2 linked regions of the Macaca fascicularis genome follow. The protein of the gene in region 1 purifies or fractionates together with the protein of each later gene. This does not show direct contact. Links are inferred from orthologs where the notes say so. Each region holds a gene or a part of one and is shown in the gene's direction. Other genes may lie near its edges.

What was found.
Region 2: the proteins of RPAP2 (region 1) and POLR2G purify together in Homo sapiens (affinity purification with mass spectrometry; 5 studies listed by BioGRID and IntAct, counting the BioPlex papers as one, with this or other methods). This does not show direct contact. The link is inferred for Macaca fascicularis from reciprocal best matches to the Homo sapiens genes RPAP2 and POLR2G.

Annotation. Positions count from the first base shown.
Region 1 is NC_088375.1:142,099,408-142,106,486, reverse strand, and holds part of RPAP2 (putative RNA polymerase II subunit B1 CTD phosphatase RPAP2), read left to right. Parts: intron 1-2,379; coding exon 2,380-2,462; intron 2,463-5,352; coding exon 5,353-5,433; intron 5,434-7,079.
Region 2 is NC_088388.1:11,290,303-11,298,164, reverse strand, and holds the start of POLR2G (DNA-directed RNA polymerase II subunit RPB7), read left to right. Parts: upstream 1-3,530; 5' UTR 3,531-3,615; coding exon 3,616-3,884; intron 3,885-5,173; coding exon 5,174-5,333; intron 5,334-7,325; coding exon 7,326-7,376; intron 7,377-7,482; coding exon 7,483-7,548; intron 7,549-7,795; coding exon 7,796-7,862. UniProt on the Homo sapiens protein: Core component of RNA polymerase II (Pol II), a DNA-dependent RNA polymerase which synthesizes mRNA precursors and many functional non-coding RNAs using the four ribonucleoside triphosphates as substrates.

The DNA of each region.
Region 1 (7,079 bases):
TTTTGGTTTTGGTCTGCTCATTCCATCAGTCACTGAGAAAGATGAGTTAAAATCTCTCACCTTAATTGTGGATTGATTATTTCTCCTTTTAGTTCTGCAAATTTTACTTTTTGAGACCATGTTATTGGATATAAATGTAAAATTGTTACGTCTTCCTGGTAAATTGAAACTCCTATCACTATGGAGCAATCTTTCTGTTTTTTTTTCTTTACAGTCTACTTTGCTGACATTAACATTCTTGTATAAATGTGGTCAAGGACAATCTGTCTAGATTGATCATCTTTGTCCTTTATGTGGAGAATTTATCTGCATTTCATGTCACAATTGGTATACAGTATTTGTGTTTAAATCTACCATCTCACTCCTCTTTCTGTGTGTCCCACTTATTCTGTCTTCCTTTTCTCTCTTGCTTTCTTTTGCATTGAATCATTATTCCATTTTTTAGCCTCTGTTAAATTGTTTTTATATACTGTTTTATTGATCATTAAATGGTTACCCTAAGTGTTAAAACCTGAATCTTTGTCTTATTAAAGTCTAATGTAAGTTAATATTTTCATTGCTTCCTGGACAATTAGCACCTTAGAATGATTTAACTCCATGTATCCCTCTTGATCCCTCTCGACTTATGTTCTATTATTGGATATTTTTATTTTCTCTAAATTTCAAATATATTGCAAGATTATTTATAGCCAACACTCAGCTGGATTTATCCAATTAATTACTCTTTCATTGTTTTTCATTCCTCCTTCTATCCCCATTCTTCCATCTGGGATTATTTGCCTTGTGCCTGAAGAATATACTTCTCTTAGTATCAGTTGATAATGAATTTTCTCAGTTTTTCTTTGTCAGAAAATTCTTTATTTTACTTTTACTTTTGAAAGATATTTTTCTGTATTGAATTTTAGATGAGCAGTTATTTTCTTTCAGCCCATTGAAAATATCATTCCCTTGTCTTTTGGCTTCCATTTGTATCTCTTATTGCTACTCCTTTGAAAGTATTGTGTCTTCTTCCTCTAGCTTCTTTTAAGACTTTTTTTGTAAGTTTTGGAATGTTCCCAGTTATCTCCTAGATATTGCTTCTATTCCATTCTGCCTCTTTAGTCTTTTTTTTTTTTTTACTGTATCTTGTAGGTCTCTTAATCTCCTTTGTGCTTTACATTATGTGTTTGGGGAGTGGTGACTGTGCTTCATTCTGGATATTTTCCTATTCAGCATTCTCTCTTCAGTCATTTCTACGATGCTCTTATGTCTACCCATTAGTTCTTACTTTTAAATACTGTATTTTTGTGTTCTAGGGTCTTCATTTTGTTACTTTATGTAGTTTCCAGTTCTCTGTCAAAAATTTTCAACCTTGTCATTTTTCTTTGAATACATTAAACATTTATTTAAATAATGCTGATAACTTCATTATTTAGATTCCCTCAGGATTGATCTCTGTAGGCTGTTTCAGATTGTTATCATATTGTCTTATTACATGCCAAACATTGTATATTAAAATTTAGAGAGATAACTGGAGACTCAGGATGATGTTATCTTCCTCTAGAATAGATTTATATTTGCTTCTGACATGATTTGTAGCTGTTCCATATCACTGTAATGTAATCAGAGATTAAGATGATTTCAAGGTGGGATTCACCTCCTGAAAGAACTAGTCTATTTCCTATTCTTTTTCTTATTCCTAGAGTACGGTCTTTCCAAGTCCTGGTCTTATATTTGGGGAGGGTTGCCCATACCCCTCCCTTCTTGAAGGATACCCTAAACTGTTTTTATTAGAAAAACTGCTCCGTTTCTCAATATCTAAATGGAAAATTAGTGCTCTATCTGTAATTACCTTCTCCAGGATCTCAGACTGTAATTCTTTATAGCCTCGTTAGCTCTCTGATGCTAACAAATGTGTTTCAAACAAATGTGGATTTTTTTCCTCCAACTTTTTTCAGTTCTCAGAGAGAGAGTTGGTTTGAATTATCTTGTGTGCCATTTCTAGAATGATTAGGGGTCAAATGACATAATGACAGAACTCCTCATAATATATTTATAGTATTTGCTAATTTTAATATTTTAATCCACTACATTTGTACAGCACTTAGCAGTTTACAAAATCTTTTTGTATACATTTTATCATTTAATAAAGGAGGTATTAATATCTCACTTACAAAGATGAGAAAACTAACTATCCAAAGAGGGCAAATGACTCAAGCAAGTTCACAACAGCCTAACAACTGAGTTGATACTCAAATTTAAATCTAATTCTCAAGTCTAGTTATTTTCCTACTATGCCACAGATATAAACTTTTGTGTTTTAATGTTTATTATTCTACTTATCAAAGAAAGAATGTAAACTTATGATTCTGTTTTGCTTTGTTTAAAAATGTGATTCAGCATGATTCCACCTTTCCACTGATAGACTCAAGTTCCCAGAACCAGATTAGAAAACGCATCGTACTTGAAAAGTTGAGTAAAGTGTAAGTATATAATTGCCATTCCAGCTTTGTAGTAGTTTTAAATTAGCTTGACATTTATGAGCTCATAATGTGTAAGTATTATCCTCAAATTTTGAACATTTTGAAAAATAATGTGAAAAGTTTCCATGGATTTCTTCAGTTGAGAAATTTGGATTTTTAAGATATTTTTTCCAAGAAATACAAATTTTTGTGTAGAGGACACAGAGGCACATCATAAAGAGGAAGGTTGAGATTGTGGATTTAGAAGACCAAACTACGTTACTCCCACCTAATCAGTGAAGTCAGGGAAAAAAAATCTCACAGCTAGACCCATTTAAATACTGATTTGTGGTAAATGTGTCACAGCAGTTTCAGATGTGAATAAGATGTTATTATAAAGTTTTAAGGGTCTGTTAACTCACTCTGCATGCATATCCTTAGAACCATTTCACATTCAGCAACTTGAGTTTTTGTTCAGCTCAACGTTGCACTTTTAGCTTTAAACTTCCCGTGGTGGAAAGTATTGTTCTTGTAATTAGCCCAGTCATAAATGACATTTAAAAATTGCTATCTTGGTTTTTCTTTCAAAAAGAACTTGAAGATTTTTTTTCCTGAGGTGTGAGGGCTGTGTTGAACTTTTCAATCTGCATTTTCTTATTTTAGCAGAAAACATGGAAAAGTGTGTCAGTCATTATTTAAGGGTTGTGAATATGAAGTTTTATTTTGTAGCAGTTTGAAAATACGGAAAACATTTCACATTAACCAAGGCATAAAGAAGAGTGAAGACAAAACTAATTATGTTATAGGAATTTTTTGTTGTTTGTTTATGAAAGAGTTTTCTTCTCATTATCAAAGTTAGACCTTTTTTGGTTTTTTATTTGAACCAACCAACTGTAAAAAGTGTTTATTTCAGAGTATCAGAGGAAATTAAATATGTTGGATATTAGATGACACTCAGGAATTGTTAATTTGGATGGTTATGATCATTTTATTGTGATTATATAAGAAAGTGCCTTTGTATTTAGAGATAAAAATGGAAACAGGTCAAATGACATGACGACAGGTATTTACTTTAAAATATTACTACAAAATAAGAAAAAAATGGCCAGGTGTGGTGGCTCATGCCTGTAATACCAGAACTTTGGGAGGCTGAGGCAGGGGGATCACCTGAAGCCAGGAGTTCAAGACCAGCCTGGGCAACATAGTAAGACCCCATCTCTACAAAAATAAAAATAAAAATTAGGCCGGGTGCGGTGGCTCACGCCTGTAATCCCAGCACTTTGGGAGACTGAGGCAGGCAGATCACGAGGTCAAGAGATCGAGATCATCCTGTCTAACACAGTGAAACCCTGTCTCTACTAAAAATACAAAAAAAAAATTAGCCGGGCGTGGTGGCAGGCGCCTGTAGTCCCAGCTACTCAGGAGGCTGAGGCAGGAGAATGGCCCGAACCTGGGAGGCGGAGCTTGCAGTGAGCCAAGATCCCATCACTGCATTCCAGCCTGGGGGACAGAGTGAGACTTCATCTCAAAAAAATAAAATAAATAAAAATAAAAATTAATCGGGTGTTGTGGGGTTACTACTCAGGAGGCTGAAGTGGAGGATTGCTTGAGCCCAAGAGTTTGAGTCTGCAGCGAGCTATGATTATGCTCGTGATTAAACTGTTCTCCATAGTGGGTGTACTAATTTCCATTGCCACCAACACTGTATGAGGGTTCCCTTGTCTCCACATTTCTCACCAGCGTTTGTTATTGCCTGACGTTTGGATTATGCCACTGCACTCCAGCCTGGGTGCTGAAGGGAATGAGAAATGAAGCAAATGTAACAAAAATTAAGAAATTGAATCTGGAAATAGATATATGGGATTATTACTGTTCTTTCTATTTTGGAATATGTGTGAAACTTCCATAGTAAGAAGCTTTTTGTATTATCACACTGGTCTTAAAAAGAAGCTTTAAAAAAAATAAAGTAACACATACTTTAGCAAATGAGGCAATACAGAATGGTTTAAAGAAGGAAGTAAAAATTACCCGTAATCCCACCACTCAACACTAACTACTATTAATATTTTGATGTGTATCCCCGACATGTATATGGCATATGTATATTCATTCTATTTGGTTCTCTCTATGGATAAACCTAGAAGGGATGAAATATGCTTGATATGTAATATATATGAAGTACAATGGTATTATATAATATGTTTTTATAAAAATAGGATGATACTATGTACATTTTTCACTTCACATCTATCATGAATATCTTTTTATATTAAAAAATAGATTCACATTATTTTAAATGTCTTATTCTATGAAATTGGTGTATCATAATTTATCTAACCAATCACCTATTGATACACATTTGTTTCCAATTTTTCACTACTAAAACTATTTCCGCAACAAGCATATTTTTTATGTTTATCTGATTATTTCCTTAGATTAAATTTTTTTCATAGTAAAACTGTTGGGTCAAACACATTTAAACTGTTAATATATATTGTCAGATTGCTTCATAAAAGGGTACTAATTTTTACTCCCACCATGAGGATTTAGTAAGGAAAAATATACCGCACTCTCAGATTGGACCATTTTGGGGGCAGTTGTGTTCTTTCCATCTTGGTCTAATATTTGAAAATAAACAGGTAAGTAAAACTAGGGACAAGAATGTAAATAGCTGCCAAAATGATTTTGCATTTCAGTGCTTCACACTCAGTAACAGACTACAAAGTGGAGTGTGGGGTAATGTTTCCTTATGAGTTCTCACCAGTCATAACCTAAGTTAACCTTTAAATCATGACTGCTTCTACCTAAATGCCATTATTACCTATGGAAAATTCAGATCTAGGCATGACCCAAAAAAAGTTTCCATATAATTAAGGTTGTTTTAAAATAAATGTAATTTTTTAATTTTCAGATTGCCTGGGCTTCTCTGTCCTCTTCAGATTACATTGGGAGATATTTACACACAACTTAAAAATCTTGTTCGAACTTTCAGGTTAGTATTTATATTACAATTATCCTTCTCAATTATTTTGACTTTATTTATTGCCTTGCAGAATCCAAAGGCACAGAGAAAGTAAGTGACTTACCTTTCAATACCACAGATCTAAATACGGTATTCTATTTTTCTCCTCCACTAAACAACGTTATTTTTCTCTTCTTTTTAATGCAACCTTTATTTGCTCAAGCCATTATATAGTTCACTTTGGATAGTTTATTTATGGAATAGCCTAAAATTGAGAAGCAAAATTATATGTCTGACACAAAGCCAGTAATACTATGGGTTTAAGTGAAATAGTAAATATATATTGGATGACCCACACTGTGCCAGGCACTATGGGTAATGTAAAAGAAACATAATGCCGCCCTAAAGGAAGAACTCTCCTGTGTGGAGATCATGTGAGTACAGTGAACAGTACAAGACAGTGGGTAATTTAATATTGAATTACACAGAACAGACTAAAGTGCTAAGAACTTTAAAGGAAGGGAGGATAGAGAATTGATATCAATTGTGAGTGAAACTGTTGTGATTTTTCCTAAAACTATCAAGATAAAAGTATTCAATCAGGCTAAGACTAGGTTCTCTCTACCAAGAAGCATAGCAATAAGCCTCTAAATGCCTTATTACTAGAATTGTACCAAATGCACATTTCAGCCAAATGCCAGTGACCAAATGTTAAAATTAACATTTGCCTGTGGCTAATGTTGCACTGACACAGAATAAACTTCTAGGGTAGAAGAATTAATTTATCCAAGACATTTATCATATGTATTTATTATTGTAGTTTATTATTGTCAACAATAGCAGTCAGATTTTAGAAGTGTAAAATTACAGTACAGGAACAATTTCTTGGCACTGTCAGCTGTTAGATTTCTCTTGCAGTAACATACTGTACATCAGTAACACCTAATAGACAATCATTTTAAACTGGCACATTTAAAAACATCACTAACCTTTTTGTGTGCCAAAAGTAATTCAGGAAAAGGTTTTTCGGTAAGGATTTTACTAGAAAGAGTTTTGTATCTAGAATTCAAAGTTTAAGGCAAACCTCAAAAATTATTTGTCTTCAAAGACTTGTCTTCAGCTGCTGAAAAGGATAATTTGTAATAATTTACATTAAACTATCAAACCTTCATAGATTCAAAACTATAGATGTCTTAAAACATTATTCTAGAGTCTTCTATAGTGAACTTTGACTAAACAAAATGTGCTTGGGATATCTCAGTTTTCTCTAAGTTTTATCTTAACACTTTGTTATATCATGATTAGATATTATATTTGGATTATTATATATCTGTTGTTTATATAATTTAGGAATTTTTCCAACTCATGATAGTTTGAGGGGACATTGATTTTCATTCATCATCAATTCCCCAACAGAAATTTAAATACAGGTCTTCAAGGTTATTTTCTTTAATGTTGTGACTACTAGTAGGTAATACATTTCTGCAAAGTTTGAGTTATTGTAAAATCTAATGTCTATTACTCTGTTTTAGATTGTTTAAATTTTTATTAACCTATTCCCAAGATACATTCTTGAGAAAGTAATCTAGTGTATTCAATATTTGTATCAACTATCAATCTTATTTTCCTAAATAATTGAAAGTTGTTACTGATTGTTTTGTACTTAAAATTAAGTT
Region 2 (7,862 bases), on another chromosome or scaffold:
AAAAAAAGAAAAAAAAAATTAGCTGGCCATGGTGGTGGGCACCTGTAATCCCAGCTACTTGGGAGGCTGAGGCAGGAGAATCACTTGAACCTGGGAGGCAGAGGTTGCAGCAAGCTGAGATCACGCCACTGCACTCCAGCCTGGGCGACAGTGAGACTCTGACTCAAAAAAAAAAAAAAAAAAAAAAAAGAAAAGAAAGAAAGAAAGAAAAAAGAAAAAAAAAAAGGAACACAAGCTTTGGAGCAGGTCTGCTATTCATACCCAAATACCTCCCCTTAATCTCTTTCGGTCTCATTTACAAGGTCCAGCTCCAGAGGAATGGAGTCAGTGTTGTGAAGTAAGAAAGTTAATATTTCATTTATATAGGCGAAGGGGTGGCCAGCCCCTCCACACCTGTGGGTGTCAGGTGGAACCAGAGACTTGAGAAAATATAGAAGAGAGACAAAGTAGAGAGAAAGAAAAGTGGGTCCAGCGGCACTCAGCATACAGAGGAACCGCACTGGCACTGGTCTCTGAGTCCCTTCAGTATTTATGGATCATTATCTCTACCATCTCGGAGAGGGGGATGTGGCAGAACAATAGGGTAATAGTCAGGAGAGGGTCAGCAGGAAAACATGTGAACAAAGGTCTCTGTGTCATAAATAAGTTTAAGTAAAGGTGCTGTGCCGTGATGTGCACACACACAAACATCTCGGTGCAATAAAAAGCAGTATTGCCGCCAGCATGTCTCACCTCCAGCCCTAAGGCTGTTTTCTCCTATCTCAGTAAATAGAACATACAATGGGGTTTTACACGGAGACATTCTATTCTCATGGACATGCAGGAGACAGATGCCTTCCTCTTAACTACAAAGAGGCCTCCCTCTTTCACTAATCCTCCTCGGCACGGACCCTTTCCAGGTGTTGGGCTGAGAGACCATCAGGCCTTTCCCTTCCCAGGAGGCCATATCTCAGGCTATCACATGGGAAGAAAACTTGGACAATACCTGGCTTTCCTAGGCAGAGGTCCCTGTGGCCTTCCGCAGTGTATTGTGTCCCTGGGTACTTGAGATTAGAGAATGGTGATGACTTTTAACAAGCATACTGCCTTCAAGCACTTTTTTAACAAAGCACATCCTGCATAGCCCTAAATCCCTTAAACCTTGAGTCAACCCAGCACCTGTCTCTGCACATGTGCTGTACACATGGCTTGGGGCTAGGGTTGCAGATTAACAGCAAGTTGAGGCAGAAGAATTTCTCTTAGTACAGAACAAAATAGAGTCTCTTATGTCTACTTCTTTCTATATAGACACAGTAACAGTCTGATCTCTTTCCCCACATATAGGCAAGCACACAGGACTTTTTAGCAGGATTACATTTTTCATAGAAGATTGGTACATAGTTATAGTAATTTGGTTGGCTATAGACAATGTTTCTTTTTGGGAAAAGTACATGTAACTTTTTTTTTTTCAATGTTTTTTGATTTGGAGTCTGGCACTGTTGCCTGAGCTGGAGTGCAGTGGCACGATCTTGGCTCACTGCAACCTCCTCCTCCCAGGTTCAAGGGATTCTTCTGCCTCAGTCTCCCAAGTAGCTGGGATTACAGGCACCTGCCACCACGCCCGGCTAATTTTTTGTATTTTTTTTTTCTTTTTTTTTGAGACGAAGTCTCTCTCTGTGGCCCAGGCTGGAGTGCAGTGGCCAGATCTCAGATCACTGCAAGCTCCGCCTCCCGGGTTCACGCGGTTCTCCTGCCTCAGCCTCCCGAGTAGCTGGGACTACAGGCGCCCGCCACCTTGCCTGGCTATTTTTTTGTATTTTTTAGTAGAGACGGGGTTTCAACGTCTTAGCCAGGATGGTCTCGATCTCCTGACCTTGTGATCCACCCGTTTCGGCCTCCCAAAGTGCTGGGATTACAGGCTTGAGCCACCGCGCCCGGCCCCAATTTTTTGTATTTTTAGTAGAGATGGGGTTTCACTATGTTGGCCAGGCTGGTCTTGAACTTCTGACCTTGTGATTCACATGTAACTTTTTTTTTTTTTGAGAGGGAATCTTGCTCTGTCTCCCAGACTGGAGTGCAGTGGCACGATCTCGGCTCACTGCAACCTCTGCCTCCCGGGTTCAAGCAATTCTCCTGCCCCAGTCTCCCAAGTAGCCGGGATTACAGTCGTGAGCCATGGTGCCGGGGGTATGTAACATTTTTTTAACAGAGGATGAAATAGTCATGGATTTCCTGCACTCCAGCCTGGGTGACACAGCGAGACTCCCTCTCAAAAAAAAGAAAGTGAATTAATCTATAATCTGAGAACAGAAGTTGTAAACTATATGTGACTCACAGTCATATCTCTCTCGAGGCTTAAAATATTTTTTGGGATTGCAATAGCTTTTAAATTTTTTCTTTCTCTCTCTCTCTTTCTTTCGTTCTTTCTTAGTGTTGCTCTGTTGCCAGGCTGGAGTGCAGTGGCGCGATCTCAGCTCACCGCAGCCTCCGCCCCCCGGGTTCAAGCGATTTTCCTGCCTCAGCCTCCTGAGTAGCTGGGACTACAGGCACATGCCACCACGCCCGGCTAATTTTTTGTATTTTTAGTAGAGTCGAGGTTTCGCCGTGTTAGCAAGGATGGTCTCAATCTCCTGACCCCATGATCTGCCCGCCTCCGCCTTCCAAAGTGCTGGGATTACAGGCGTAAACCACTGCGCTCAGCCTAAATTTCATTATTTTCTGTAGTTTCCTGGCCTTTCGACTAAGGCTCATGTAAATTTTTTGTTATTTCTACACCAATTTCTGTAGATTATTATGAGAATTAAGGGAGATAATTATATAAAGGGCTTAACACAGTGTCTGGCATTTAGGAAGAAAGCAGTAAGTGGTAGCTATTATTTATTATTATTTTTTGTGATGGAGTTTCGCTTTTGTTGCCCAGGCTGGAGTGCAGTGGCCTCCCAGGTTCAAGCAATTCAGAGAGTTGCTGGCCGGGCACAGTGGCTCACGCCTGTAATTCCAGCACTTTTGGAGGCCGAGGTGGGTGGATCACCTAAGGTTGGGAGTTTGAGACTAGCCTGACCAACATGGAGAAACCCCATCTCTACTAAAAACACAAAATTGGCCGGGCGCTGTGACTCACGCCTGTAATTCCAGCACTTTGGGAGGCTGAGGAGGGCGGATCACAAGGTCAGGATATCAAGACCAGCCTGGCTAACCCGGTGAAACCCCGTCACTACTAAAAATACAAAAAATTAGCCGGGCGCGGTGGTGGGCGCCTGTAGTCCCAACTACTGGGGAGGCTGAGGCAGGAGAATGGCCCGAACCCGGGAGGCGGAGCTTGCAGTGAGCCGAGATCGCGCCACTGCACTCCAGCCTGGGAGACGGAGCCAGATCCGTCTCAAAACAAAAAAAAGAGAGTTGTGGTTTGATGGCCGGTGGGGGGGCGGGGCGGTGGTGAGGGGCGGGGCTTAGTGGTTCACGCCCACGGCTACAAGGCCCAATCAGACCCGTGGAGCAGGTGGAGTTCCGCCCTCGCTGAGGAGGTGGAGTTCCGCTCTCAACGACGCAGCAGGCGCGGAACTGGGGTTGCGGCGGCTAAGTGTGTTTCCGGTAGATTCCCAGGGGCGGTCGGAGGTGTGGACTGTTCCTGCCTTCATGCTCTGGGAAGATGTTCTACCATGTGAGCAGGGCCCAGGGTGGCGGCAAGGGCTGGGTGGAAAGGAGGAGCAAGGCCAGGCGCCGGCGCGAGGCTCCCCTTGTCGTCTGATAAGCTCCCAGCGCGTGGCCTGGTCGCCATCCCTCTTTTCTCCGCAGATCTCCCTAGAGCACGAAATCCTGCTGCACCCGCGCTACTTCGGCCCCAACTTGCTCAACACGGTGAAGCAGAAGCTCTTCACCGAAGTGGAGGGGACCTGCACAGGGAAGTGAGTGCCGAGCTCACCGTGCCGCCAGATCGTTCGATGCGCACACGGGTCGCTATACCTGCAAACCCTCCGCAACTCCTATTTAGTCCTGCCACCCACTCTAGGGACCCCGCTCACCCTCTCAGGCAGCCAGTTGCTTCCTGCTTTGGGTTCCCAGGGCGCCCTCTGCAATGCTGGACAATAAGACTTCCTTCCCTCAGCTGAGATTGGTCATTCATTCATTTACTCCTCAGACATTTTAAAAACACTTGGTGTGTGCCAGGACCCGTGTTGGGCTCAGAACAAGGTAGAATGGGAACAAGATAGAATGAGGCCAGCTCTTGTGGAGCTCACAGTGTAGTCATTGTTCCTGTGTCTCCTCTCACTCTGTCATTCTGCTGGTTTTCTCTTATCCCCTGTGTCCAGGGACCACACACCGTGGGCCTCTATATATCTTCTGAATGGATGACCAGAAAAAGTGGATCGAAAGTTTGGGGGAGGAAGGAAGTAGACTGGGACTTGACCATCTCTGGGCTTTGCACTGAGGGCCTTCTGTGATATTAATGAGCTGGGACCCAGCCCAGGGCAGTGGAGTACTTGGGCCTCCAGCATCAGAAAAACCTGCAGGAACATGCAGATTCCTGAGCCTCCTTATTCCCTACAGAATCAAGACTCTGTGAGGCAGACCTGAGAATCTGCATTTTAAGAAGATGATTCTCAGGCATCCCGAAGATTGAGATCTGTTTCCTCAAGGACTCCAGCCTTCTTGTACATTTACTGTGAAATTACCAGAACAGCATTTGGTCTTATACATACTGATCTGTGTTCTTTTTTTTTTTTTTTTTTTTTTGAGACGGAGTCTCGCTCTGTGGCCCAGGCTGGAGTGCAGTGGCCTGATCTCAGCTCACCGCAAGCTCCGCCTCCCGGGTTCAGGCCATTCTCCTGCCTCAGCTTCCCGAGTAGCTGGGACTACAGGCGCCTGCCACCTCGCCTGGCTAGTTTTTTGTATTTTTTAGTAGAGACGGGGTTTCACCGGGTTAGCCAGGATGGTCTCGATCTCCTGACGTCGTGATCCGCCCGTCTCGGCCTCCCAAAGTGCTGGGATTACAGGCTTGAGCCACCGCGCCCAGCCCATACTGATCTGTGTTCTGTCTTCTCTTGGTCATTAAGCTCTCTGGGAGCAGAGGTGCTATCTACTTGTCCTTTTGCTCTCCCCGACACTACTCCCAAGAGCTCAGTGACTTTTATTGCAGATGTCTCTAGAGGCTCTTGGACACACAATGTCTTTCTGTTTCTCATCCTCCTTGCAGGTATGGCTTTGTAATTGCTGTCACCACCATTGACAATATTGGTGCTGGTGTGATCCAGCCAGGCCGAGGCTTTGTCCTTTATCCAGTTAAGTACAAGGCCATTGTTTTCCGGCCCTTTAAAGGGGAGGTCGTGGATGCTGTTGTAACTCAGGTCAACAAGGTGAGACCATACGTAGGGGAGGCATTGGGGTAGTCTCTCAGTAGATCTGGGTTGGGTCCTGGCTCCACTTCATAACTGTGCCTTCAGCTAAGTCACTTTACTTCTTTTTTTTTTTTTGAGACGGAGTGTTGCTCTGTCGCCCAGGCTGGAGTGCAGTGGTGCCATCTTGGCTCACTGAAACCTCTGCCTTCTGGGTTCCAGTGAGTCTCTTGCCTCGGCCTCCCAAGTAGTTGGGACTAAAGGCAGGTGCCACCATTGCCGGCTAAGTTTTTGTATTTTTTTAGTAGAGATAGGGTTTTGCCATGTTGCCCAGGCTGATCTCGAACTCCTGAGCTCAATCTGCCTTCCTCGGCCTCCCAAAGCGCTAGGATTACAGGTGTGAGCTACCACGCCTAGCCATCACTTTACTTCTTGTGCTGCACTTTCAAATTGTATGGTAATCTTCCCTGCCCAACTCAGAGGGCAAGAGTCAACATTAATAGTCATAACAATAAAAGCCTGTGTTGATTGAGTAGTGACTGTGGGCCAGGTGAAGTGCAGAGACTCACAATGACTAAAAGGTGGGTGCTTTCCTTTTTTTTTTTTTTTTAAGATGGAGTTTAGCTCTGTCGCCAGACTGGAGTGCAGTGGCACAATCTTGGCTCACTACAACCTCCGCCTCTGGGTTCAAGTGATTCTCCTGCCTCAGCCTCCCAGGTAGCTGGGACTATAGGCATGCGCCACCACGCTCAGCTAATTTTTGTATTTTTAGTAGAGATGAGGTTTCTCCATGTTGGTCAGGCTGGTCTCAAACTCCTGACCTCAGGTGATCTGCCTGCCTCAGCCACCGAAAGTGCTGGGATTGTAGGCGTGAGCCACTGCCCCCGGCCAGTGGGTGCTTTTTACAGAAGCTGAAGCTTAGAAGAAGTTAAGTGTATTGGCCAAGATCATGTGGCCAACAGGTGTTCAAATCTTGGACTAACAGGCCTAAGCTCTTTAATACTTTAAAATGAAAGGTTAGGCTGGGCATGGTGGCTCACATCTGTAATCCCAGCACTTTGGGAGGCTGAGGTGGGCAGATCACCTGAGGTTGGGAGTTCAAGACCAGCCTGGCCAATATGATGAAACCCTATCTCTACTAAAAATACAAAAATTAGCCAGGCATCGTGGCATGTGCATGTAGTCCCAGCTACTCGGGAGGCTGAGGCATGAGAATCACTTGAACGTGGGAGGTGGAGGTTGCAGTGAGTTGAAATTGCACCACTGCACTCCAGAGTGAACAACAGAGCGAGATTCTGTCTCAAAATAAATACATAAATAAATACAAATGAAAGCTTAAAAAAAAAGAGAAGAGGGCTGGGTGTGCTGGCTTACACCTATAATCCCAGTGCTTTGGGAGGCAGAAGTGGGAAGATTGCTTGAGCCTAGGAGTTTGAGACCAGCCTGGGCAACATAGCAAGACTCTGTCTCTACAAAAAGTTTTAAAAAATTAGCCTAGCATGGTGGTGTGCACCTGTGGTCTCAGCTACTTGGAAGGCTGAGGTGGGAGGATTGCTTGAGCCCAGGAATTCAAAGGTACAGTGAGCTGTGATTACACCACTGCTTTCCAACCTGGGCAACAGTGAGAACCTGTCTCAAAATTTAGAAAGCAAAAAACAAAAACACAACACTTGAGGGGACAAAGAAAAGCAAGATCACTCTTTTTTTTTTTTTGAGACGGAGTCTTGCTCTGTTGCCAGGCTGGAGTACAATGGCGAGATCTGGCTCACTGCAACCTCCGCCTCCCGGGTTCAAACGATTCTCCTGCCTCAGTCTCTTGAGTAGCTGGGATTACAGGTGCGCTACCACACCCAGCTAATTTTTGTATTTTTAGCAGAGACAAGGTTTCACCATGTTGGTCAGGCTGGTCTTGAACTTGTGACCTCATGATCCACCCGCCTCGGCCCCCCAAAGTGCTGGGATTATAGGCATAAGCCACCGTGCATGACCATAAGATCACTCATTTTTTTCTAGGTTGGACTCTTCACAGAAATTGGACCCATGTCTTGCTTCATCTCTCGACATGTAAGTCTAGGCACACTGGGTGGGGCTGAGGAAGAGAGATACCCATTCATTACCATCTACTGAAGCATCCTTTTAAAGTGCTACCCTAATCTCACTTTCCTTTCAGTCCATCCCTTCAGAGATGGAGTTTGATCCTAACTCCAACCCACCATGTTACAAGACAATGGATGAGGTAAGTGGACAGAAAGAAGTCAGGAAGAGGAAGAGAGAATCAGTCATCCTGAGGGAGAATATTGGCCTGAGGATGGCCGAGCACAGATGGTCCCTGAATTACCATGGCTTGATTCATGATTTTATGACTTTACGATGATGCGAAAGTGATGTGCATTCAATATGCCCCCGGGCTTACAGTGAAGTAGTTGTGATGTAACCTCTCATAAACTGAGGAGCATCTGTACACTGTTCCCTCCTCTCCCCAGGATATTGTGATTCAGCAGGACGATGAGATCCGCTTAAAGATTGTGGGGACCCGTGTGGACAAGAATG